Linked DNA regions of Xenopus tropicalis. The protein of the gene in region 5 binds, or shares a complex with, the protein of the main gene of each other region. Links are inferred from orthologs where the notes say so. Each region holds a gene or a part of one and is shown on either strand. Other genes may lie near its edges.

What was found.
Region 1: gpkow (region 5) and cwc27 share a complex: the UniProt entries of both Homo sapiens proteins name them as parts of the minor spliceosome. The link is inferred for Xenopus tropicalis from reciprocal best matches to the Homo sapiens genes GPKOW and CWC27.
Region 2: gpkow (region 5) and rbmx2 share a complex: the UniProt entries of both Homo sapiens proteins name them as parts of the minor spliceosome. The link is inferred for Xenopus tropicalis from reciprocal best matches to the Homo sapiens genes GPKOW and RBMX2.
Region 3: gpkow (region 5) and ppil2 share a complex: the UniProt entries of both Homo sapiens proteins name them as parts of the minor spliceosome. The link is inferred for Xenopus tropicalis from reciprocal best matches to the Homo sapiens genes GPKOW and PPIL2.
Region 4: gpkow (region 5) and snrpf share a complex: the UniProt entries of both Homo sapiens proteins name them as parts of the minor spliceosome. The link is inferred for Xenopus tropicalis from reciprocal best matches to the Homo sapiens genes GPKOW and SNRPF.
Region 6: gpkow (region 5) and cwc22 share a complex: the UniProt entries of both Homo sapiens proteins name them as parts of the minor spliceosome. The link is inferred for Xenopus tropicalis from reciprocal best matches to the Homo sapiens genes GPKOW and CWC22.
Region 7: gpkow (region 5) and rbm48 share a complex: the UniProt entries of both Homo sapiens proteins name them as parts of the minor spliceosome. The link is inferred for Xenopus tropicalis from reciprocal best matches to the Homo sapiens genes GPKOW and RBM48.

Annotation. Positions count from the first base shown.
Region 1 is NC_030677.2:188,222,693-188,226,192, forward strand, and holds part of cwc27 (spliceosome-associated protein CWC27 homolog), read right to left. Parts: intron 1,205-3,500; coding exon 1,092-1,204; intron 1-1,091. UniProt on the Homo sapiens protein: As part of the spliceosome, plays a role in pre-mRNA splicing. Probable inactive PPIase with no peptidyl-prolyl cis-trans isomerase activity. As a component of the minor spliceosome, involved in the splicing of U12-type introns in pre-mRNAs.
Region 2 is NC_030684.2:38,932,791-38,935,009, forward strand, and holds the end of rbmx2 (RNA-binding motif protein, X-linked 2), read right to left. Parts: coding exon 2,021-2,219; 3' UTR 501-2,020; downstream 1-500. UniProt on the Homo sapiens protein: Involved in pre-mRNA splicing as component of the activated spliceosome. As a component of the minor spliceosome, involved in the splicing of U12-type introns in pre-mRNAs.
Region 3 is NC_030677.2:154,149,600-154,153,698, reverse strand, and holds the start of ppil2 (peptidyl-prolyl cis-trans isomerase-like 2), read left to right. Parts: upstream 1-1,299; 5' UTR 1,300-1,357; coding exon 1,358-1,389; intron 1,390-2,425; coding exon 2,426-2,475; intron 2,476-4,099. UniProt on the Homo sapiens protein: Has a ubiquitin-protein ligase activity acting as an E3 ubiquitin protein ligase or as an ubiquitin-ubiquitin ligase promoting elongation of ubiquitin chains on substrates.
Region 4 is NC_030679.2:57,034,801-57,038,748, forward strand, and holds the start of snrpf (small nuclear ribonucleoprotein F), read left to right. Parts: upstream 1-1,148; 5' UTR 1,149-1,276; coding exon 1,277-1,279; intron 1,280-2,148; coding exon 2,149-2,274; intron 2,275-3,269; coding exon 3,270-3,334; intron 3,335-3,948. UniProt on the Homo sapiens protein: Plays a role in pre-mRNA splicing as a core component of the spliceosomal U1, U2, U4 and U5 small nuclear ribonucleoproteins (snRNPs), the building blocks of the spliceosome.
Region 5 is NC_030684.2:24,001,980-24,004,715, reverse strand, and holds part of gpkow (G-patch domain and KOW motifs-containing protein), read right to left. Parts: intron 362-2,736; coding exon 160-361; intron 72-159; coding exon 1-71. UniProt on the Homo sapiens protein: RNA-binding protein involved in pre-mRNA splicing. As a component of the minor spliceosome, involved in the splicing of U12-type introns in pre-mRNAs.
Region 6 is NC_030685.2:63,083,823-63,088,023, forward strand, and holds the start of cwc22 (pre-mRNA-splicing factor CWC22 homolog), read left to right. Parts: upstream 1-1,401; 5' UTR 1,402-1,622; coding exon 1,623-1,649; intron 1,650-4,201. UniProt on the Homo sapiens protein: Required for pre-mRNA splicing as component of the spliceosome. As a component of the minor spliceosome, involved in the splicing of U12-type introns in pre-mRNAs. Promotes exon-junction complex (EJC) assembly.
Region 7 is NC_030682.2:31,762,945-31,767,059, forward strand, and holds the start of rbm48 (RNA-binding protein 48), read right to left. Parts: upstream 2,801-4,115; 5' UTR 2,686-2,800; coding exon 2,575-2,685; intron 1-2,574. Other genes in the region: pex1 (peroxisome biogenesis factor 1), read left to right, coding at 3,028-3,138. UniProt on the Homo sapiens protein: As a component of the minor spliceosome, involved in the splicing of U12-type introns in pre-mRNAs.

The DNA.
Region 1 (3,500 bases), on a different chromosome or scaffold from region 5:
AATTTCTATTTATCCTTTTTTTTTTTTTAACTCTTTTATTTTCAAGTTTTTATAAATTTTAGATGATATCTTATGAGTACAAAAAACAGTGTCCCATATTGGCCAATTACTTTAATATATAAACTTTCTCATTCTTCAGAGAAATTGTCTAAGGAGAAGGAATTCAAGGAAGCCAAAACACCATTCCCAGAAACCCTTCATTTTTAAATATATATAACTCTTCCTTATCTGTAAGCCTGAGACACAGTGGCACACGTCGGGGCAAAGGTGGAGCTCCTTTATACTGAGCTCCCTATTTCTGTTTAAATATACTCTTTACAGCGAAGCATTGTAGGTGTAAAAGAAAGCAGCAATCCATTTATTATTGATTAATACATATTTTCGCTCATGTAAAACAAAGGAGCATATAGACCAGGGGTGGGCAAACTAAGGCCCGCGGGCCACATCCGGCCCCTTTGCCTTTTTAATCCGGCCCGCCGCCGACGCCAAGTCTCATCACGCGAGACTTGGTGTCATTGGCGTGCCGGAATTAAACAGAGAAGGGGGCCCGCCCTGGCCCGGTCGGGCCCGGGGGTGAGTAAATGTGGCCCGAGAGCCAAAAAGTGTGCCCACCCCTGATATAGACTCAAACACAAATCAGTGGCCACAAGTACTAATGATCATTATAAAATGACCAGTTCTGATCAATCCTTAATTATTGCAATGGATCTGCTAATTACCCTGAAAAATCACTCTGTTATAGTGGATTTAATCAATATTGTTATTGATTGATTCCAGTTGAAAAACTATCATTTTTAATGCAGAAAGAATGCAAAGCAAAAGACTGAGAAAACTTCTTAAAGCAACGAATTCCTTAAAGCCAGAGTGTACCATATTTTTTTTACACTGTGAATAGTGTTTGGGCTAAACATACTTTCCCCCTATTCTTTTAATTAAGAAATATCACATTCTATTTCCTGATCCCAAAGAGAAAAACCATATAAACCAATAGTACACTGAAAAGTCTCTGTATAATGAGCTGCTCCTTATCTAAAATCATAGTCTGTAGCTGGGGAAACGGAGAAGTTGATTTATACATAAATATTTCTTACCCTAAAAGGTTTACCATAAACAGATTCACCTCCTGTTCCAGTACCTGTAGGATCTCCCCCTTGAATAATAAAGTCAGGAACAACTCTGTGAAATATTGTGTTATCATAATAACCTAAAAGAAAAGGACAACACGTTTTAAACACCGCATAAACCAGTTGACAGTCAATATGATATTCCCCACTGCAGACACCATTCTGGTCTATAGGAAATGGATGAGCTACACCATAGTATGGATCAGTCTTTTTGTGGGCAGACAATTAACACCAAAATTAGCTTGACCTTGTAAAATATTAATTTATAGTCTTTGCATGTAAAAAAAAGCATATTGGCTACTTATAATTATAGTAATTTCATTTCCTAGTGTCATTGCCCCCCCCCCCCCCAGAGAAGGGGAACAAAAGGATAGCTTAAAAGAATGAAAATGCTAAAAGGAGAAAAAGTGTAGTGTGTTAAAATAAAAATGTAGCACAGAAAACCTGTTTTTTGCACAATAAAAGAAAATTTTATTCTAGGCAGAATATATTTAGTAACATTTGGAGGGAGGAAAGAAAGTATCTTAGGGAATTTTTATTGGTAGAGACAATGCTGGATGATAAAGAAATAACCTGAAGAAGAGAAAGAAATAAGAAAAAAGAAGTACAATGAAAAAACAATAGAGAACTATATAAAACAGTGCTGTCCAACTGGCGATACTCCTCTGTGTGGCGCCCCACCTGTCTGGCTGCTTTGATGATTTACCTTTGTGTAAACTTTAAATGGTATCAGTACTGAGATTAACTGGCCCCCTGCATGGTTCTCACCTCAGATTCAGGCTGAAAACCACCTGTATTGTTTAAAAATGTAATCCCCTGTGTTGTTCACACCTTTTAATCCCTGCATTGTTCACCCCCTGCAGTGTTCAAACCTCAGGCTCAGGCTGTAATCACCCACATTGTTCACCTGTTCACACCTCAGACTGTAGGAGCAGTAGAAACCCACAAATAAACCCTGCACACTACAAAAAACATATACTGAGGTGGTACTGCAATTAAAAAGTTTTTAAATATATAGTTATTGTGCAGACTGTAGGAGCAGTGCCAGCACACAGGCAGCATAGGGCAGGCAGAGTATGGCACACACAGGCAGGGTAGGGCAGGCTGAGTATGGCTCACACAGGCAGGGTAGGGCAGGCCGAGAATGGCACACACAGGCAGGGTAGGGCAGGCCGAGTATGGCACACACAGGCAGGGTAGGGCAGGCAGAGTATGGCACACACAGGCAGGGTAGGACATGCAGAGTATGGCACACACAGGCAGGGTAAGGCAGGCAGAGTATGACACCCACAGGCAGCATAGAGCAGGCAGAGTATGGCTCACACAGGCAGGGTAGGGCAGACAGAGTATGGCACACACAGGCAGCATAGGGCAGGCAGAATATGGCACACACAGGCAGGGTAGGGCAGGCTGAGTATGGCACACACAGGCAGGGTAGGGCAGGCTGAGTATGGCACACACACACACAGGGTAGGGCAGGCTGAGTATGGCACACACAGGCAGGGTAGGGCAGGCTGAGTATGGCACACACAGGCAGGGTAGGGCAGGCAGAGTATGGCACACACAGGCAGCATAGGGCAGGCAGAGTATGGCACACACAGGCAGCATAGGGCAGGCAGAGTATGGCACACACAGGCAGCATAGGGCAGGCAGAGTATGGCACACACAGGCAGCATAGGGCAGGCAGAGTATGGCACACACAGGCAGGGTAGGGAAGGCAGAGTATGGCAGGTTTTTGCTGTACTACCACCATTAATATGGGTATGGTCATGTGATAACATGAACTCAATGCTCCATCTAGGTCTTCCATTAATGAAATATTCCACATGGGTCCTATTGTACTGCATATCTATCAAACAGGTTTAATTAACAAAAGAAAACAACGAAAAGCTGTGCTTAAGCATACAGATATGAGGTATAATCTAGTATAATCTAGCAGTGTCAGTAAAAAGAATTATTCAGCAGCCAGCAACTGGACAGAATTGTAGTTGCCATGTTTTCACTTTCATAAATAAATGCTTTTTTTTGTTTTAGCTTTGCACCATAAGTAGCTTTTTTAACATGTGTAGTTCTAGGCATAATTAAACAATAGTAATAGGAAGCTTTACAAACCAGCATGCCCCTGCAACTGATTTCTTGCTTTGGCTTCACAGGACTGGAGCAAACTAGCCACCTGTTATTGTATCCCCACATAGTTTAGCATAGGTTAATGTGTCACTATAAAGCAAGGGTTCTTAAGCTATGGTTTGAGTGCCATATACGGCCGCCCATGACGTTAAGAGTGGGATTCCACTTCTTTTAATAATGTGAAATGTCTTTCTACAATGCATAACATTTATTAAAACAAAGTGCATAAGGGGTTGTGAAATAGATTAC
Region 2 (2,219 bases), about 15 Mb from region 5:
TACTTGCCCCTTGTAGCAAAGATCTATTGTGGATAAATCTCTCAATGGGACATCAGTCTAAAATGGCAGCTTCTATTTTAAATAAACGGAGAGAGCTTCTATGACCGTTTACTCAGGTATGGCAAAGCATTTTGCAGAATAAATACAGCATTCTAGCTTGCACTATTGTGGTTAATCTATTGGCAATAAAATGCCAAACTGCCTTTTTATTATCATTTAAATAACAGACAAAGCATATGGGCTAAAGTTGTGGGCAACCACCCTACATACTTTATTTAAAGGCGAATGTACACAAGCTTTCAGGATGGGTTCTAATTTATGTCCAAACTGAACTGTATATAGTGTATGCTGCAATTGGACGAACAAAATTCTTCTCATCTTTTGCTTTGTGGTCTATTCCTTTCTATGAATACATAAAGAAAACTGGGCTATCATGGATGTGCAATTTTATTTTGATGGAATAATACAGCTAGTTAAATACATTCATGTAATAGCGGAAATGAATACACAAATCTTGCTTTATTTGTCAAAAAAAAAACAAAAACATTATGACCACCAAATAAATCTAATAAACATACATTTGACAAGAGAGTGGTGGGTTAGTGGCATCCAATAGCTTTTTATATTATCCAGTGGCCAGTAGCCTGGTGGTGGGCTTCCCCCTCAAAGGGGTGAAAAAAACTCAAAGTGATAAATCACCCCCTAGGAGTCTGTATTATAGGTACATATGAAGAGCTTAAAAACCTTCTATACAGAGGTTCCAAACCAACCCCACTAATACAAGAAGTAGTGTAGGTCTGGCATAATGCTCTGAATTTTTTCTGTTCCAGAACTCCATCTGTGGACCAAATAATATTAAATGCATTAAGTTTAGGTTGCCCTGATATTGTAGACTCCCAATATTAATATCTGGTCAGAGCTAAAGACAAATAAGAATGTAAATGTCTACAAAGAATGTATCTCTGGTAAATGCCCTAAAATGTCATTTGGTCCTGTCACAGGATACAAAGGTTCGGAAGTTTGATAATACCAGTTAGATGGTCATAAATAATGTGCTGATACAGCCAGATCCACTAGCCCCTACCAGGAGCCGTGAGAAAACTAGTAGCAATACTCATCATTGTAATACACTGAAAAGCAGAAAGCCCATTGGAAAAAAGCACATCAATATGGTGTTTGCGCTGCACAAAGTTATTTATGCTGGGATGCCCGACAAATTTGGAATACTGTACGACCCCTTAGGTGTACACTGAAATTAACATGATTTAAGTTAATGCTTCTGCAGGGCACTGCTTTACACTGATGCCAATAACTTGTCATTCCAGTGCTGATTCACTTCTAAAGGCTACAATAGTGATCACCCCCTCTGGCAGCATGGGTGCATATAATGTAACCCTTATTATACTGTTTTTTCTTTCCTCTTCATATACAATGACTGTATGTAATGCCCTAAATGATACACACTGCTATTTGTGCAGTCACAACAGGCCATTGCTCCAGTTTTGTAAAATGTGTGTACTATTTGCATATGCCTTGATGTACCAGCTATACTATATTTTAATTCTGCTTGTGAACTAAATCTATTATAATCTGTTCAATAAAACTTGTATTGTTAAAAAGTAAAAAAAATACATTTGATCTTGGTGATTTTAAAGATGGAAAATCTCATTCTGCAGGTAAAGCTCTACTATATTACGCCAGATTACTCTATTTTAATACCTCATGAACTGATGTCACTTTACTTTGTCTACCAGTTTTTCAAATATTTTTTATCACTGCTCAGCAGTTGTATTTCTAATTTAGTTTTTTGACAGACAAACAATTATAGCAAGGTTCAGCTCCTGCCATTTCAAAGTGGCCAGTACATCACAATTGCCTTTTACTTCTTAAAATCCTTCTCCCATGCATCATTCCATACACTGTACACCAAGGGTCCTTAGTATGTATTTAATAACAACTTGGGCTTAAACACTGCACAGACGTTCCACCTCTTATTGTCCCCATAAAGCATACTCTTCTGCTACCTTCTGCCTCTTTCTGTCTTGTCTTTTGATCTTTGCTCTTGCTGCTCTCTGTACTTATCTCTTGGCATTTGTTGTTCTCGCTCTTTGCGTTCCTCTTTTTCCTTGTGCTGTTCTTTGTACTTATCATGGGAATCACCTTTGCTGTTACTCTTTTTGTGAGAGCCACGGTTTTCTTCCATGGCCCTTGAGCTCTCA
Region 3 (4,099 bases), on a different chromosome or scaffold from region 5:
TTAAAGCTTACACAAAGGTAAGCCATCAAAGCAGCCAGACAGGTGAGGGGCCACACAGAGGGGGGTTGCGGGCCGCCAGTTGGACAGCACTGGTCTATGGCATCTTAAAGTAGCCCCTTTGCCAAACCCACAGATTGCCAGTAAGGGCCTGGTGTAATTAACCCAATTAAGATTTGGAACAAGAGCCACAGGGCCAGGGGACCTTTCTGGCACTAAAAACAGGGGTCAGGGGTGCTGACACCTATTCCAGCTCTTATAATAGGGTACCAGGAACTTATTCCAGCAGCCTGAACCTAAGTGAAGCATGTATTTAGGCAACCAGGATAACACATCTGTTCTGGCCCTAAGAAAAGGAACCAAACAATGCCAGGCACCTATTTAGGCAGGGCTGAAGCCAAAGGTAGGTGAGTTAGCCAAAAATGTTATTTATAAAGGCTAGAGTGAACAGATGTTAAACATAAGAGCCAGAACACTACTTTTCAATCTGATCTGCGTGCTCACAAACTAACTGAGGTTAGACAGCTGAAAGCAGGAAGTAGTATTCTGGCTATTGATAGACATCTGTCCACTCCAACCTTTATAATTACTGTACATTTTTGCCTAACTCTATTACAAATATTTTTTTTATTTTGAGCAGTCTATTTGACCCAGTTTCATTTTTACACTGAACTGTGCCTTTAATCCCATATTATGGAAACCATTTAGAGAGGATAAAACAAATAATGTCATGTGTCAGAACAGGTACCAAAAGAGTGGCAGGAACTAGTTCTGACAGTCAGTACTGGGCTTGAGAATGCCAAAAAGCATTTGCCACCTATTTTAGCGCATTTCTTGAGTCAGAATAGGTAAAGAAAACACTAATATTCATATTGCTCCTTATCAGCTTTGAGGTTGGTGCCCCAAACGCCCTATTTTTAACATTTATCTTCTCCGCCACATCGCTTACTATTCTACATCACCTATTGCTCTCTTCAACACTTTCTCACTCCGCGCCAGATCTTCTCCGTCCCCTCCCTTTTCCATGTTGCCCCTGACAGCTTTAAAATGCTCCTTTTCTCTTTGAAATCCTTTACAGAAACGACATATTAATGTAATTAATTATAATGAATTTGCGAAACGTGGAGCAAACAAAAGCATATCTACAACTAGTTCTACTTTAATGCCAATCACTTTAACCATAGCATCCTCGTCTCCAGTATTAGGAACACAGATATTTCGAATTAGACGCTTCCGCGTTTTTTTACTTCCGGTACCCGAGCCCTACCAATAGACGGACCGGAAGTTATAATTGGACGCTAAGTCTGGAAAAAGTGTTCAGTATTGAAACAGAACGGGGCTTCAGTAACAGATAAACAAAATGGGGAAGCGTCAGCATCAAAAAGATAAAATGTAAGTTGCGAGCCTTAAATGCGACTTATACGTAAAATGGCGGCGTATTGTTGTTGTACTGTTTGTGCATGCTCTGTGTAACCTGTGTCTGTGGATCTACACTCGCCCAATAATGCACACATAGCATATTCCAGAGTTACAACCTCTCATCTTCTTGTTTAAGGGAATGCTGTGTGTGAGGGGGAGGGCATGTATCTGTTAGAAGAAGGCTTTCACTTATTGCATACAGTGGGGACCTTTATTTAGGATAGACTGGGAAGCATTTATATCAAGGTCCTGTGTAAGCAGAAATGGAGGTTGTAGGTGGCACATAAATGCCACTTTGCTGCCCCCACAAAGACTATACACCATTAAGTATCACTATATTGTTCACAAATGCTTTCACGGTTTCTGAAGTTTAAAATGACCAAGGCTGTTTACAGGACATGTGTTATGCTACCCTAAAATAAATAAAACAATTTTTAAAGATGACTAACCAATTGTTAAGAAAAATCCCATGGCACGAAAAACCCGAGTACCATGCCATACTGAGCGTGGCGGGTCCCATTTGTTACATACCCCCCAGTAATAATAATCACTGACATCAGCCCTCAGACTGGTTCTTCTCTTTGTCAAAAAATACATTGGCATAGGTTACTGTTCTAGTGAGCATCCTCCTTTTTTGTTTTTTTGATACATTCAAGCTGTACATGTTAGTTTTTGGGCATGCTAATTTTATCCAGCCTATGATTACATGCTGCATAAGCATAAACACGTCTGGCTTTGTACATGGGGTTTGTTTTAATGGATTGTAATAAAGTTGATAATTTTTAACTTTTTTTGATAGTTACAGACTTAATTGTTAAATTGTAATTTTTCCCTCTTTTGGTCACTAGAGGGTTGATTCTGCACGTTTGACTATTTTTTCTTTCTAGTTTTTTTTTACTATGTATCCTATTTTGGCCATTTGAAATGTTTACATGCTAATTTTATACCATCTTTTTCCCTTAATCCTGTGTGGTTACTAAATCTGTTTATTTGTTAATTATTTTACCAGGTACATCACTTGTACAGAATACACAAACTTCTATGGAGGAAAGAGACCAGGTAAGACCAACTACATACATAGGTTGTATGTATATTTAAATTTTGATTTTTCACAAGTTTTTCCATTGAGTGTGGTACTATGCTTTTCTATTTAACATATTTACCAGCACTCTGGCTACTTGCCTGGGTAGTTTAGGGAGTGCTCCTCTATGGTTCTAAAGGGTTTCAATAGTATAAAAAAGACCAGCAACTCCGGGATTTCTTTTGAAAAATCAAAACAAATCATAACATATATATCATAGTAATGTAATCTCCTAATGAATAAAAATTGCCTGGTGTAGTTATCAAAATGTAAACAACAAATGGACACAGCACTCACTGGACTTGGAAGAAAACAAATTCATTTATTTATTATGTTTGCCCTGTGCTACAGTGCTCAGCCAATTAAATGGTAATTTATGGGGGTGCAGCTACAATAATAATATTTTTAAGCAAGGGGACACAGTTCTCCAGAGAACTATGGCTTATAACCACAATAGTATGTGGCGCATCCCCAGGGATGCAGTTCTCCTTACTGAGACTTAGCTGAGCAGGACCATGTGGGGGTGCCAACTTCAAGATTAATGTGAAAGGATTGTAGTAGTTTTTACTTCCCGTCTTCATGGCCCACTTTGTAGTTTGCACACAGAAACATTTATAAAGTGGGAACAAATATATACAGCGACCCGGTGGGGACAGTCTTATATACTGGGATGAAACTACAAAGACGGATGGCTTGAGCAGCCGCACTCAAAAGCTCCTGTATGCTGGGGGTGGGGAAAAAAAAGTGGCGGGATGTCATCCCACTCCATTCCACCTCGAGGTCTACCAGAAACTTTAAAGTGATCTACTGGTAGACCGTGATCTACCTTTTGGGCACCTCTGCCTTAGACCCTGAGATGTGTAACCAGTATCTAATATAGTTATGTGCACTTGTTGCCCCCCTCTAAGTATAAATCATGGGCTCCTAATTATCACTTTGAACCCGCAGTCACCCCTATAATTGCTAATCCAGAGCATTCTGGATAGCAGGTCCCATACCTGTATAGGCAAAGGGAGCACACATCAGTGATGTATTAGATCTGACTCCAGCTCCTGCATAAAAAGAGACAGATTGCTAAGAGGGGGTTACTGAAGAAAAACCTAATTATTTCCACAATGGTACCAAATTTTTAATCGATTATATTCTGAAAGTTTTAGCGATACATCGCCTTGATGTAGCAGCCATCTCTCCTGACTATAATGTTGTTGTTTACTTAAAACTGCTTCTAAAGGTGGCCATACACCTTGGGCAATGGGGCAATATCGGGGTAATTTAGGCTTATTCGGTCGTTTGGCCCTGGGGGCAAATGATCGAATTATAACGGCTGGAATAGGCGCAGTCAGTTCGTGGACCGCATCAACGTGCCGATGCGGTCCCCGGTCCGACTGAATTTTTTAATCTGCCCGATCGATATCTGGCCGATTAAGATTGTCTTGCATGACATTATTGGTACATTGAACACTTGATACAGATTTTCTGCCTAATTTCAGTTAACAGGTGTTTTTATTTCTGCAAGAGTTTTTTTTTTTTCTATATATGAAACTGGAGTCCAGCATATTTCTTTCTTGCATTTTATTAACAGATTATAGGATCTATTTTCCA
Region 4 (3,948 bases), on a different chromosome or scaffold from region 5:
TTGACGCTGCTTCTTGTGGCTCCTGCTCCTTATGCGGCTCCTTCTACGGCGGCGACAGGACCTTTTATAAGGTTGCGCCCCGTGCGTACGTGTGACATCACACGTACGCATGGGCGCAACCTTATAAAAGGGCCTGTCGCCGCCGTACGAGGAGCCGAATAAGAAGCAGGAGCCACAGGACGAGACGGAGCCGGAGTGCTGGCTGCAGTCAGCGCATCCCGCTGGCCTGGATAGTTTAATGAATGTTCTGCATTTCCGTAATGCGGGACATTCATTGAACAATCCGGGACAGCGGGATGCGCTGTAAAAACCGGGACTGTCCTGCGAAAAGCGGGACAGTTGGGGGGTATGCAACCCACTTAGGGTCACAGTGTAATGCAACCCCTCTCTCACTTTTTCTTTCTTTGTAAAAAGCGCACAGATTCTGGTATAAAGGGGGACAGCTTGCATTACATTGGGAGACAAATGTGCTAAAGAGCACAGAGAAAACTATCATGGTTTTCTTTCTACCTGTGGAATCAGGTACTCCTGGGTGATATCACTCCAACTTGCAGCGCAGCAGTAAAGTGTGACTGAAGTTTATCAGTCACATGGCTGTAGCACCCTGGGATATGAAGAATATGGCTAGCCCCATGTGAACTTTTAAAATTAAATATAAAAAAAAACCTGTTGAAGTTCTATTAACCGATGCATTTTGAAAAAAAACCTTTTCTCATGACAGTATTCCTTTACCCATTCTAATTTTACCCTCCAAGTGCCACCAAGTCCTCGGAAAATCAAGGCTTCTAAATCTGGACTGTTGTGCATAATAGTGAATATAATTACATAGCGTTAACAAATAATCAAAACAAGGTACGAAATACAAATAGACGGGACGCAATGTTTGTATTTGTTGTAATTGCAGTCAGCGCAGTATAGCAACTTGCATTTATTAGAAATGCCTAATTGCGGTTCCTGGGGGAAGGCCCTGTAGTACTAGTAGTACTGAGGCGGCCCGGAGTCAGCACAGAGGGTGAGCCTTGTACAATACAACACCATTGTGAAATAATCCCGCCTCCACTGGCGATTGTTGGAGTCATGTTGGAAATCCAACTCCAGCCACTAGAGGGAGCAGTTAGCCATTCAACGCGTGTCGGCTCTCTATGGTCTTTTCTCCTGTCGCTTCCGGGCCTTGGCAGCCATTTCCCGCTTTGCTCCAGCGGTGTGTTCTACGGGACGCTCCGGGGAGGAATTTTTTTTATTGATCTGCAGTTTGTTGTGAGGCTGCGGTCGCACCATGGTAAGTACTGGAGGTGTGCGAGTTCCAGGCCTGGCGGGACAGGGGGTGTCAGTGTGTAGGGATGGGGGGGAGTGCAGGCAGCATGGTGTGTGGGGCTGTTCATTATCCCGAGTAGCAGCTTATCCCGCCGGATTTACAGAATGGGTTATGCAGTTGGTTCGGGTTTGTTTGGTTGCTTTATTGTTAGGCCTGTGTGGAAAGGCGTAACGTGTTATCTTTGCAGCGTGTGTACTCGCTAAGGGCACGTTGCACGGAAAGAGCCTGTATGTAAGGCGCGGTGTAGGCTGCGCTGAAATATAAGTAGCCATGCAGCGTGGGATGGTACTATCTCTACTGGGGATGAGCCGCGAACATGGGATGTTTGCGTCTGTTCTTAAAGCGGTGGCACATGGGAGTTGATAATTTCCTAAAGGCCATGTGTTCCTCTGCCTATCATATCTCAAGTGGTAATGCTACAAATGGCATGTTATACTGTTTGTACTGTGACTGCCCTCAGCCAGCAGTGATGTGCAGCCTTGTGGCCCTCCAGCTATTGAACTGCACTTTCAACTATCAGGAAGAATAAATAAATGCCCCTTTTTCATTTTACTGTGGTAGTGTAATAATATATAGCCTCCTACCAAAGAAAGGATGATTTCTATTAGATATGGATTTGTGGTTGTTGTTGCTGGCCGTGCCCCAAGTATCATTATTAGGCAGGTGTCCCCTTTTGGTTTCTTGGAAGGGAGCATGAGAAAACTGAGGACAAATAAAGGCAGAGATATAGTATTGAAAATGTATGCATATGATTACTTCAGGTTATTGCATGAGTTGACGTTTTAATCACAAGACCTATTGAATATTTATATTATAAATGATTATATTTTCAGAGTTTACCACTGAATCCAAAACCCTTCCTTAATGGCCTCACTGGTAAGCCAGTTATGGTAAAGCTGAAATGGGGGATGGAGTACAAAGGCTACTTGGTATCAGTGGATGGATACATGAACATGCAGGTAAGTAATAGCACTGAACATGTCAGATATTATAGTTGGTTACTTGCTGTTATAAGTTAATTTATTAGATTATTTAATAAAAAAAAATATATATTGTATGCATGTGTATATATAATTTATATTATATTCCCTTTATATTGTGCCAGAATTGTATCTGGGCTTTCCTGTTGCCATTTTAGAGCAGTGTATGAGACATTTGGATTGGATTGCCTCTGTCTCTAGTTAACACTAGGAAATTGCACAAGTAAAATGGTTTTGGGCATCAGCAGCCCATTGCTGGCAATGAAATACATTAAAGGAACAGTAACACCAAAAAATTAAAGTGTAAAAAACTAACTAAAATATAATGTGCTGCTGCCCTGCACTGGTAAAAGTTGTGTGTTTACTTCAGAAAGTCTTCTATAATTTATATAAATAAGCTGCTGTGTAGCCATGGGGGCAGCCATTCAAAGGAGAAAAGGCACAGGCACATAGCAGATAACAGATAAAACACTATTGTACTCTACAGAACTTATCTGTTATCTGCTATGTAACCTGTGCCTTTTCTCCTTTTTTCCAGCTTGAATGGCTGCCCCCGTGGCTACACAGCAGCTTATTATATAAATTATAGTAGTGTTACTGTAGCAAACACACCAATTTTACCAGTGCAGGGCAACAGTGCATTATATTTTCATTACTTTAAAGCTCTTTTATTTTTTGGTGTTACTGTTCCTTTAAGTGCTGCTTAAGGTTGCATGCAATTAGCTGGAGTGCTTGCCAGAGTGTTGTGACACTTTATAGTACCATTGCTAACCCTAGTAGCATTAGCACCAATTAGCCAGCTTAATTGCTTTTAAAACATAAGTAACAATTAATATTAATATTTCTGTATTGCAGAGTTTTTTTTTTTTATAGTAATGATGGTTGAGAAAGTAATGAGTGTCCATTATCCAAGGTTGCTGTGATGTGTGAGAAGCTTTTTCTGTTGGTTAATTCATTTATATATATTATTGCAGCTTGCAAACACAGAAGAATATATTGATGGTGCATTGTCTGGACATCTTGGAGAAGTTTTGATAAGGTAAGAATTGTGCACTGGGGATGCTTTGTAGGTGGTCACATTACAGCATATATGTCTGCTTTTCTGAAATAGAAAGCAAACTCTTGTCAGCATGTTAAGGCAACTGCATGTGCCATATAGATTGTAAGCTCTACGGGGCAGGGACCTCCATCCTCTTGTGTCTTTGACTCTTAACTTATTGCAACTGTAACTGTATCTTGTATGTATTTGTATTTATTGTTATACTTTGTATTTATCTATTATCTTATTAACCCCCTATTTGTATTAATGTATTCTACTGTACAGCGCTGTGTACATAAGTAGCGCTTTATAAATAAAAATATATATACATACATGTGAACCAGTGAAAAATGTAAAGTATATTCTGTAAAAAAAAAAAATGTACTTTTTAAATAGTTTCTTATCTAAACTGTGTAATTTAACAATTATTTAAAAAGGCAACAAATTGTCCTTTTAAATATTCTCTTTAAAGCACAACCTCCAAGGAGGCGTGAGTAGATTGCCCTTTTTTTTCTTGATAACTACCTAGTAGCAAGAATTGTATCCCTTCTCTAGAAAAACAATGTGACTGCTACCTTTTCTCTGCTAAACTGTTTAACTATTGTATTCCTTTT
Region 5 (2,736 bases):
TAGAGTTGTAGTACTTTCCCCCTTTATAATTTTTGTCAATAAAGCGAACCCTTAAGTCCCGATGTAGCCAGCTGAGAAAGAGAAGCAAAAAAATATCAATACACAGCATCCCCCAAGGCAAAGTCTTATTATTAATAGCCATCTAATTCGATTTTTTACCCCTGTGGCTCTGGCCTTATCTTCTTCTTTTCTTTCTCTCGATCTGGACTCCTTTGTCGATGTCTCTTTTCTCTGTTATTTAAGTCACTATTCCTGCTTGACTCACTGTGTTTCTCACCATCTTTTCTTTGTTGCTCTTTATCTGGGCTTCTGTCTTTATGTTGCTCCTCTTTGGATTCCTGATGCGCTTTACTTAATCGGCCTTGAGGGACAAGGGAAAAAAGTGAAAAATGTGGGAGTCATAATACTGCTTTTAAATATTCACAGCTATCCTCACATGTGCACTATAGTTGCCATCTTTTTCTTCAACATGCTGCCCCTTGTTCAACATATGTGCAATAAATAAAACTTAAGCCAAACATAATTTAGTTTAGTCCTTCAAACCACACCCATGTTATCATAAGATCATACCCACAATGACACTTTTACTGTCAAGCACGTATGTGATACGTGCTTTTCAGAAAAGGCTTTATCTGGCAAGCACGTATCACATATAGGCACATGTGCAGTAGAGTGAAAAGCCGACTTCTCTGTTAAAGTTCCACTATTCACCCTACTGCACATGCGCGCGAGCGATACAGGAAGGAGGAAGCGCTGCAGCTACCCTGGGCTGGTGCTGTTCTCTCTGAACAGGGGCACCAGCCCGGGGTAAAAGGTAGGCGATTAAAGTCACTTGGGGGTGCCTAACATTTTGGCACCCCCAAGTGACTTTGCCTTTCCTTCACACTCGTGTCTGCTATTGGAGCTTCCTGCTGCAGCCCCTCTGAGCCTGCCCACACACTAACTGCTGCAGAGAATCTGCGGTCCTGGGACCCTCTGTGCAGCCAAGGACTCGCAAAAAAGGTACGTGGCCTTTTTTTAACCTAGATATACCCATTTTAACACACACATACATACATTTAAACACATACAAACCGCCTTTTACTAAATGTGTTTTTTTTTTTTGCATTTCTGTCTTTTTGCATTTGTACATTTTTACACACTTTTTCGAGGTGTACACACAAGTATACAGAAACAGACACAAACACTTTTTTTGCTCTTTTTTAGTTCCTTATTTTATCATTTTGTCTTTTGTTTTTACCTTAAAAATTAGGGGAAACCAGTGTGACCATTGAATAAAGTATTCTGACCACTAACCACGCTGTAAAATAATTAATTTTGTTATTTCATTGACTTGCCTAATTGTATTTCATGTTTGTGATTTTATTGCAGTTTTACACTTGCATTGTTGTTTGTTGCATTTCTTTTAGTGTAGCTTTGCCGTTTGGTGTACAAGGACGTTTTCAGCTGTTTCTGATTTGTCAAAATGTGTACTTTTCAAAAATATATGGTTTTTCTGGGGGTCTCTGTGCAGCTAGGGGGTTTTACTGCATATAACATGCAGTCTGGGCTCTGTTTGCAAAAACTGAGTTGGGAGGCTAGAAAATTTGCATGTGTTACTTTCATTTGGTACATAACCACATACTTAGGTAAATCTATGCATATTGGGCATCAAAATGTTCAGCAGACCTCTGGCATTCAGATTTAGGATGATTTATCATTGTATGTAAAAAATTGTGGGAGATAAATATGACAAATTGCCATATTAGGTGACTTTAGGTGATTTTCAGAAATTACATAGAAAACGCTAACTTTAGGAAAGCTTTGCCGATTGGTATTTTGGTGTAGAAAGGCATCTTTACCCATGTTGGATTTGTCTGAATGTGTACTTTCAAAAATATATGGTTTTCAGGGGTCACCCTACATTTTTGCCTCTTTCACCACACACAAAACTCCCTGTGTGTTTATGAATTAGGTAAATGTAAGCCATGAAATTAGTGCACACAAGGTATATTTTGGGGTCTGTAAGTGCCAGGCTGTAGAGTGGAAGCTTTGAAACAATTTTTCAAAAATGTCACACATTTTTATAAAAACTGGTACATGTAGGAAAGGATTGCAACTTAACTATTACCATTAACCTTTGATGCAACAGATACCACCCCATAGTTCCTCCAATATTTCATATAATGCAGGAATGGCCAAAGGTAGTAGTCTTACAACATCTAAAGGGCTGCTGCATTGTGAGAGCCTTCAGTCTTTCACCAAAACTACTTGGAATATGGAACCTAACTGGGTGGCTGTCCCATTAAATAGTGTCATTGGTGGATGGTTACATGTAGAGCAGAAGTCCCCAACCTTTCTTACTCCTGAGCCCCAGTCAAATGTAAAAAGACTTGGGGAGCAACACAAGCATCATAAAAGTTCATGGAGGTGCCAAATAAGGGCTACGATTGGCTATTAGGCAGCCTCTATGCACATTGGCTTACAGGAGGCTTTATTTGGTAGTAAATCTTGTTTTTATTCAACCAAAACTTGCCCCAAGTCAGGAATTCAAAAATAGCTACCTGGTTTGGGGGCACTGAGAGCAACATCCAAGGGGTTGGGGAGCAAAATGTTGCTCCTGAGTCACTGGTTGGGGTTCACTGATGTAGAGAATGTACATAACACAGCTATGTTTGGATAACCATTTTAGTAATTTTGGATGTGAGAAATTGCTTTAAAAAAAAAAAAAAAAAAATGGATGTCAAATGCATGGCC
Region 6 (4,201 bases), on a different chromosome or scaffold from region 5:
CGAAATGTTTGTAATCATTGCGAAAAATATGACTTTTGCATAAAAATTTATGCAAAACCCGAATAAGTCGCGTAATTGTACCGATATTTTCGTGGTCATTACAAAAAGTTCTAAACTTTACAACAATACAAATTTTTTTGCAATCGTGGTCATCGTGCTTCGATAAATGTGCCCCTATGGGGCTGATTCATCAAAGCATGAGTTCAAATCTCGAAATGGGTATAATTCAGATTAGATACAATAATTTCTCATGATCGGAAATGTCACGAAAATGCTTACGAAAAAATCGTATTAGTCACGATAATATTGTATCGGCGATCCGAAAGTGACTAAATTTTCATATCCGAATGATTGTAAATGGCTTTGATCCTTCTGTGCATGATTTTGGAAGCCTCTCATAGGACTCAATGGCACTCTGCAGCTCCAACCTGGCCCAAGGAAAGCCTCCCATAGGGCTCAATGGCACTCTGCAGCTCCAACCTGGCCTAAGGAAAGCCTCCCATAGGGCTCAATGGCACTCTGCAGCTCCAACCTGGCCCAAGGAAAGTCTCCCATAGGGCTCAATGGCACTCTGCAGCTCCAACCTGGCCCAAGGAAAGTCTCCCATAGGGCTCAATGGCACTCTGCAGCTCCAACCCGGCCCAAGGAAAGTCTCCCATAGGGCTCAATGGCACTCTGCAGCTCCAACCCGGCCCAAGGAAAGTCTCCCATAGGGCTCAATGGCACTCTGCAGCTCCAACCCGGCCCAAGGAAAGTCTCCCATAGGGCTTAATGGCACTCTGCAGCTCCAACCTGGCCCAAGGAAAGTCATGATACCGAAGCTTGAATGAATCCGAAACTTTCGTACTCGTTACGACAAATACGATTTTGTGGCACAAATTGTTGCAAAGTACGAAAAAGTCGCAAAAAATACGCGCAGTACAAAAACTATTCGGAAGCAATCGTACTTTGATAAATGTACCCGTGTGTGTTTCACATCATGTTACAGAAGCCCTAAAAAAAAAGTGTGTATGATGTGGAAAGTGTCCGTTCCTTGGTGACAGGCTGCCGTCAGTAATCAGACTACTATTTAGCAGGGCCCTCACCCCAGGGAATTTCCTGCACCAAGTAAAATAGAAACTCAACAAAGAATGGACATGAAAATACTGCAGTTACCACTTATTTTTTAACAATGGGTATTGGAAAGAGCTTTCTCTTATTAAACAAAAAATATTTAGCGGTTTAAAGTCCCTTTAATTTTAAATACACTGGTACCTAGGAAGAAGGGCCTATTTGTGTAAATGATTAAATGTAAAGGACTGCAATATAGCTACACCGCTTATTACAGCCAACGCTGCTATTTTAGCTTCTCCTTGCGACTCTTAGTCCCGTTTGTCCTGTCTCGGCTCCCGTACATATCACTGTGCGCTGGCTAGAATAGAGAATGCTGGGAAACCGGAAGTGTATTATGTCGTGCAGTGTGAGCGGTATTGTAAATAGAACACTGTGCGTTTAATCCAATAAGCGGGATTGTTCTTTATGTAATTTGATTTGGGTGGCGGTGACCAACAAGCGGTTGTTTATTCTAAGTCTTTACATTTTCCGATCTCCCCGAGAAGCTTTGGAGGGGGCAGCTTGGTATCATGAAGAGTAGCGTGGCCCAAGTCAAAGTAAGTTTTCTGCTTACATTTACCTTATGGTTACAGAGTGGCTTTATCCTGGACTTTCAGCTTGAGATCCTATAGCGAATGGAAAATTACAACTTGCAGTAACCTCTAACGCTGAGGATCAAGGGAGCTATAGTTCAGCAACTTATGTGGGGCACTCAGCCCAATGCCTTGAGGGTCATAACATTTGAGTTCGGGATATTTAGTCCAAACTATGCCGGAACTAAATTCCCAGAGGATCATTATCTTCCTTATGACAGGGAACTGGTTGACGTCTCTACAGTTAATAAAGGTGGAAAAATTGTATAAAAAAAAAGACAGAGGGGGGGGGGGTCAAAGCTCCATGTTTTTTTTCTGCCCACAGTGCCCCATGCCATTAATGTATTATTTACTTATATAGCACAGGCATTCCTCTGCGCTTGACATATAATGCAGTATTCACATTAGTCACTGCCCCAGAGAAGCTTACAATCTAAGGTCCCTATCAATTCATGCCTAATAATTTTATCGAGACCCCGTTAACCTGCTGTATGTTCTTGGAGTGTGGGAGGGAACCAAACTACCCATGCATAAACGGGGAAACATTTTATTTATTACCCAAGTAAGTCCCTTTACAGAGCACTTACTCCCCAGGGTTTCTTCTCTCTGCATAAATCTAGCGCTTGCAGAGCGGGTCCTGATGCAGGCAGTGCCTCCTGACACACCATACATTATGCCTCTGATTGACATTAAAGGAGAATGCAAGTCAAAATTTAAAAAGCATACTGCCCAGTAGTCCTATTGTTTAGTAAAAACGCCACACTTTTGGCTCACCTAATCAAATATTTACTTGGTTACACTTACTCATATTTTCTAGAACAGGCAGCCATCCCTATTTCCCCTTCCTTTCCCTCCTTGCATCATACTGCACATGTGTTTCATTCCCTCCCCCCCCCCGGCAGATCCACTTCTGATTGGCTGGTGGGCATGTGTAGCTCAGAACAGGAGACAGGATCAAGTTACACACATGCTCAGAGAATAGGAAGGCTGCCGCTGGCACCTACAGGAAGGGGAGAGAGATTTTAGTGATGTCACTATAGTCTTCACACTGCTGTAGGCTGCCGAATCCCAAAATACTGGCATCCCTAGTAAAGGCTAAATGACTCTGAAACCACAGAAAATCAACAATGTGTATCACTTTCATTGTATACTTCATCTTGGGAGTTAATTTAAGGGCCTTTAAGTCAGAGCAGGATGTTCTATGTGACTTGCCAGCTTTTGTTGAGTTACACCTGCCAGCAGCAGCAGCAGATTCTGGTTTCAAAAACTGCTGGGCCTTGTGTTAGAGATTATTTATTATGAGTTTGTTTACACAGGGAAGTTTGTCATACAACAGCAGCCTGCAGCTTTTACAAGAGGCACCAGGCAAGCACAGTATTCAAATGTAATACTAAGCAACGTTCCAATATACATTCATTAAAATGTGTCAGTGATGTTACTGTTTTTATGTAAATGTATTTGCTATTAAAATCAGTAACTGTTTGGCTGGTGCATCCTATTCACTCCTGGCTCTGACTCCCAAAACAATGTTGCAAGCCACCTGATTTACAGAACTGAAGGAGACCTGACAAATTGTTATAAGAGTCAGAAAACAGAAAGAGGTAAAAAACTTGCTTCTTGCTTCCTTTCCAAATAACGTTTTAATGATAAAACCCATGAAAATGATACATTTATGCTTCAATGTTGCCTGTTATTGCATTTTCTTAGTGCAAAAAATGATACTTTTTGGCTGGAGATAACTCTGGTCAGGTTATCTGCCATTTTCTGGAATAAAAATGGCAAATACATCGGTCACAAACAGATATATGTATTTAGAATCTTGACGTAATATAAAATATACAGGTATTGAAGAGCAGGGCCACTATTGGAGAGTGTAGGGATTCTGTAGATGAAGACCCGAGATAGAAAGAAGCAATCTATAGCTCACAAAAAGAGTAGAAGTTTATAACTAGTTGGCAGGCTTTGGGACAGACTAGTGGCTTGGCTGTGCATGTGAAGGGATTCTCTTCTACTCCCTGAGCAATAGACAGAAGGGCAGACACAAGTTATATGCACAGAGATACCCCTTGAATTTGGTGGTTGCAGCAGAACAACATCTGATGTACAGGTATGGGACCCTTTTATCCAGAATGCTCAGGATCTGGGGTTTTCTTGATAAAGGATATTTCTGTAATTTGGATCTCCATACCCTTAAAGGGGAAGTAAGCCTTTTATCTTAAAAGCCCCTAAAATGACTTTGTCTGTTGCAGACTCTGTATCACAAACAGCTCAACCTCAGCTCTCTCAGATACTTCCTAATCTTAGGTTGAGCTTCTTGTGATACAGAATCTGCATCGGACTGAGTGCAGAAAGAAAGGGATGTTATACTGGGGCTGTATAGAGTCTTATTTAGAGAGAGAGGGGGAAAAAAAAGGTTTACTTATTTTTTGTATGCTAATAATCATTTAAATGTTAAATAAACGCAATAGGATTGTTTTGCCTCCAATAAGGGGTAATTATATCTTAGGTGGAATCAA
Region 7 (4,115 bases), on a different chromosome or scaffold from region 5:
AACTGATTGCCATTTGTTTCTTTCTTCATCTCGTGTGTTTTTCTTTTTGGAGGGAGACTTCTAGCCAATCCATGTGAAACAGGTGAAATAATAGGTGAATATATAAAATTTACTTTTAAAAAAAGACAGTGACGGGGTTGTTTCTCTATCCACACTTGTAGCATATATTTACGAGCAGCTGCAGATATGATAAACAGTACTTTTCTACTCCCCCAATAAGTCTAGTATTTGGTAGGGATACCAAACATTGTCAATTTTGGTAACATAGGAACATAATCCATTTTGGTAACATAGGAACATAGTCTAGCAAGTTATCAATGGCATAACAAGTTATTGATACCCAAAACTTTTTACTATGAGGACATGTCCAGAAACAATTAAATAAATCTGCCTCCAGAGAGTCCTATTTGGGACTGACTTTTGGCGAGTAGTAGGCTCAATAAAAAGAATTTTAGATGCATTTCTTTATATGATCCCATTGGAAGACATTTATTTGCATACTGTAAGGCCTTGAGACATTTGTAATTGAGAAAATTTCAGAAGCCATTTGTTGTGTCCCTTGGTGGAAGAAGTATAGACTATCTGCTTATATAATAGACAGGGTTGGAATGACAGCACACGCAGGATGTTTTTCAAGAAGAATCACAGAGGTTTAGGGCCCTTTTGTGCTTAAAAAGGTTTGTACTGCACTGTGATGTTACTGTCCCTGATGAAAGTTCCAGATAGGAACTGAAACGTCGGACTGAATAAAGCCTCACATTTATTTATCTAAACCTCTGTGATTCTTCTTGAAAAACATCCTGCGTGTGCTGTCATTCCAACCCTGTGTATCTACGCTTTCAGCACTGGCACCCAGGTATTAACTTGCTCTTATGGTGTGCAGCTTTCCAGCAACTCATTTCTGCTTATATAATAGTTTAAAGCCCAGTGATATAGCTCTCTTGGCGGGAGGATGGCTATATAATTTTACTGGTATCGCTTTTGAAGGAAAGCCAGTAACTTGCTAGAAAGCACTGGATACTTTTCTTTGGCTTGAACATACGTTAAAGTTTTTCTATTTGCATCATCTGTAAAATGGCTTAATCAAGCCAGAGTGATACAACTGTTTGTATATGCCATGTTTGCCATACTGTATAAAGCAAATGGTTATCTGTCCAAGTATTCAGCAAGGAATCAACAGTTTTTAAAGTCCTAAACTAAAGATTTCTCTGCGCAAAAGCCTGATTCTTCATTAGTACCACAGATTTGTGTGTTATATAATTAACGCAGCAACTGGGAATATTGTTTTCAAGGCATGGGGCAAAATACAGTGAAATATCACCAAAAAAAAGCCTGTTCCAGGCTGCTAAAAAATAAACATTAATCTTTCAGTAGAACAGTGATCCCAGTGATCAAATGGCTCTGTCACAGGCCTGACCTCAATCCAGCTGAGAATCTCTGGCATTATATGAATAAATCTGACTGGGTGCAATAGCCGAGGGCTACAGGCACAAAACTGAGATGAGGCACATTTTCAGTTTTTGGTCAAAATATAATTTTTTTTATTTCTCAAACATTTAAAATTTAAATGCACATCAGCATCTTACATTTGTCACATGATATGGAAAGCTTAAAACAGACCCTTACAAGTCAATCTTGGTAAGCGTCAAATTTAAACTTTTTTTTTTTTTTTAAATATACCCCTCAGTTTAACGTGAACCCAGTAACTGAGTGCATTATACTCTTCTTTATGAAATTAAAAGAAAATAGTATCAGTTTGTGTGTGTTTTTTTTATATGCAGACATGTTAAGTGTGCTGGTTGTATGAGAATGTGTGCAGAGTGAAATGATGTAATGTTACAGGGCAAGGAAAGGGAAACTGGAGTGTGTGCTAGGGCAGACCCTGCAGTTGGAAGGGGGCCCAGGAATGGAAGTGGCCCAGGAATGGAAGTGGCCCAGGAATGGAAGTGGCCCAATAAGACCCTAATTGATGAGAAATGTCAATGTATCTTGGTAGAATAGGTTAACATACAAATATTTTTTGGGCCCTAAATTGAAATTGTTGTGGTACCCCACTGGCTTGCAGTATACATGACTGCTGGTGTAACTAGAGACCACTGGGCCCAACCACAAAATTATCTTTTTATTCATAAACATATATTTAGCCTTATCAGTTGCAGCCACTGGGTCTGTGACATCTATAATTACAATCATGGGAAATAGCCCATAGTTTATAATGAAACCTACTGCCTCCAAATGGTGAACTAGAACTCTAATCCCTCTCCCACACTATTCCCCTATCAGTGGGTGCAGATAAAAAGGCAGCATTTTTTCCTTCAGTGGAACAATATGCTCCTATGTAGAAACAGAAATCATTACCAGTTCCCACACAGTGCCCAATTAAAACCACATGAATATAGAAGAGCTAACATTCTTATGGAAGCTGTAACTCAGTGATAACTCTAGGGAGCAATTTCTACGAAGGGAAACCTGCTAGAGCGGCACTGGCGCTCAGTCCCACCGCAAGAATACGCTGGAATACTAGTTGTGTGGACGTATAAAAACCAAAACAAAAACTGTAAATGTTTCACGCACTTTGACTGCTCTGGGCCTCCGTCCTTCGCGGTACTTGGCCCGTGAGGCGCATATCTTTCGCTGCTCATGGTGTGCGTAGGCCTGCACTTGCACTGCTGCGCTTTCTGCCATCGGCTTCTGCTGTCTAAGAAATAGTTCCCTCTCTCCCTGTACCAAACACAGGCCGGGACACAGAACCAATAGGCGGAAAGGCAGCAGAACCAATAGGCGGAAGGACTGCCCCGCACACAGGCGTCATTAGAGCACGCCATTCTCTGATTGGGCGGGAGGTACTATACGTCAGCAGACACAGGGTGAGTGGGATTTCCTCGATTGTCAAAGGTGAAACAGCGCGGAAGTTACCCAGTAGGCATGAAGGAGCTGATAACGTTAGCGATGGAAGTTCTGTTACTTGCACGTTCGTCATACACAGCGCTGGAGTGAAGGGGGTTGCTGTGGGTACGCCACAGTAGGATGCTAGGTCCGGGACCGCCCGGGGCTGCTGTGTCCCTGAAACTCACAAGTGCTAAGGACACATTTTTGCGTGTGACACCTGAGGTGCTCGCACAATTACGCCTGGAGCAGGTAACTCTAACCGGGGCCCGTCTGTCCGTGATGGGCAGCACTTGTTTATTTTAATATGATGCCTGTAATGGCCCTGTCCGGGCACTAACCAGGGCTTTGGGATTCTCAGGTGATTCTACATGGAAAGCAGGAGGGAGTTTAGTAACATGACATGAGGTGTATTTGTGTAGGTGTCAGAAAAGGATTAATAATATCAACTGGGATAATAGCCTCTGGGAAGGGACTGGGGCTGTGGGATAGCAGGTATAGTAGGGAGAGATGGTGCCTATAGTAGCAGTGGGGGGATAATAGCCTCTGGGAAGGGACTGGGGCTGTGGGATAGCAGGTATAGTAGGGAGAGATGGTGCCTATAGTAGCAGTGGGGGGATAATAGCCTCTGGGAAGGGACTGTGGCTATGGGATAGCAGGTATAGTAGGGAGAGATGGTGCCTATAGTAGCAGTGGGATAATAGCCTCTGGGAAGGGACTGTGGCTGTGGGATAGCAGGTATAGTAGGGAGAGATGGTGCCTATAGTAGCAGTGGGATAATAGCCTCTGGGAAGGGACTGTGGCTGTGGGATAGCAGGTATAGTAGGGAGAGATGGTGCCTATAGTAGCAGTGGGGGATAATAGCCTCTGGGAAGGGACTGGGGCTGTGGGATAGCAGGTATAGTAGGGAGAGATGGTGCCTATAGTAGCAGTGGGGGGATAATAGCCTCTGGGAAGGGACTGTGGCTATGGGATAGCAGGTATAGTAGGGAGAGATGGTGCCTATAGTAGCAGTGGGATAATAGCCTCTGGGAAGGGACTGTGGCTGTGGGATAGCAGGTATAGTAGGGAGAGATGGTGCCTATAGTAGCAGTGGGATAATAGCCTCTGGGAAGGGACTGTGGCTGTGGGATAGCAGGTATAGTAGGGAGAGATGGTGCCTATAGTAGCAGTGGGGGGATAATAGCCTCTGGGAAGGGACTGTGGCTGTGGCATAGCAGGTATAGTAG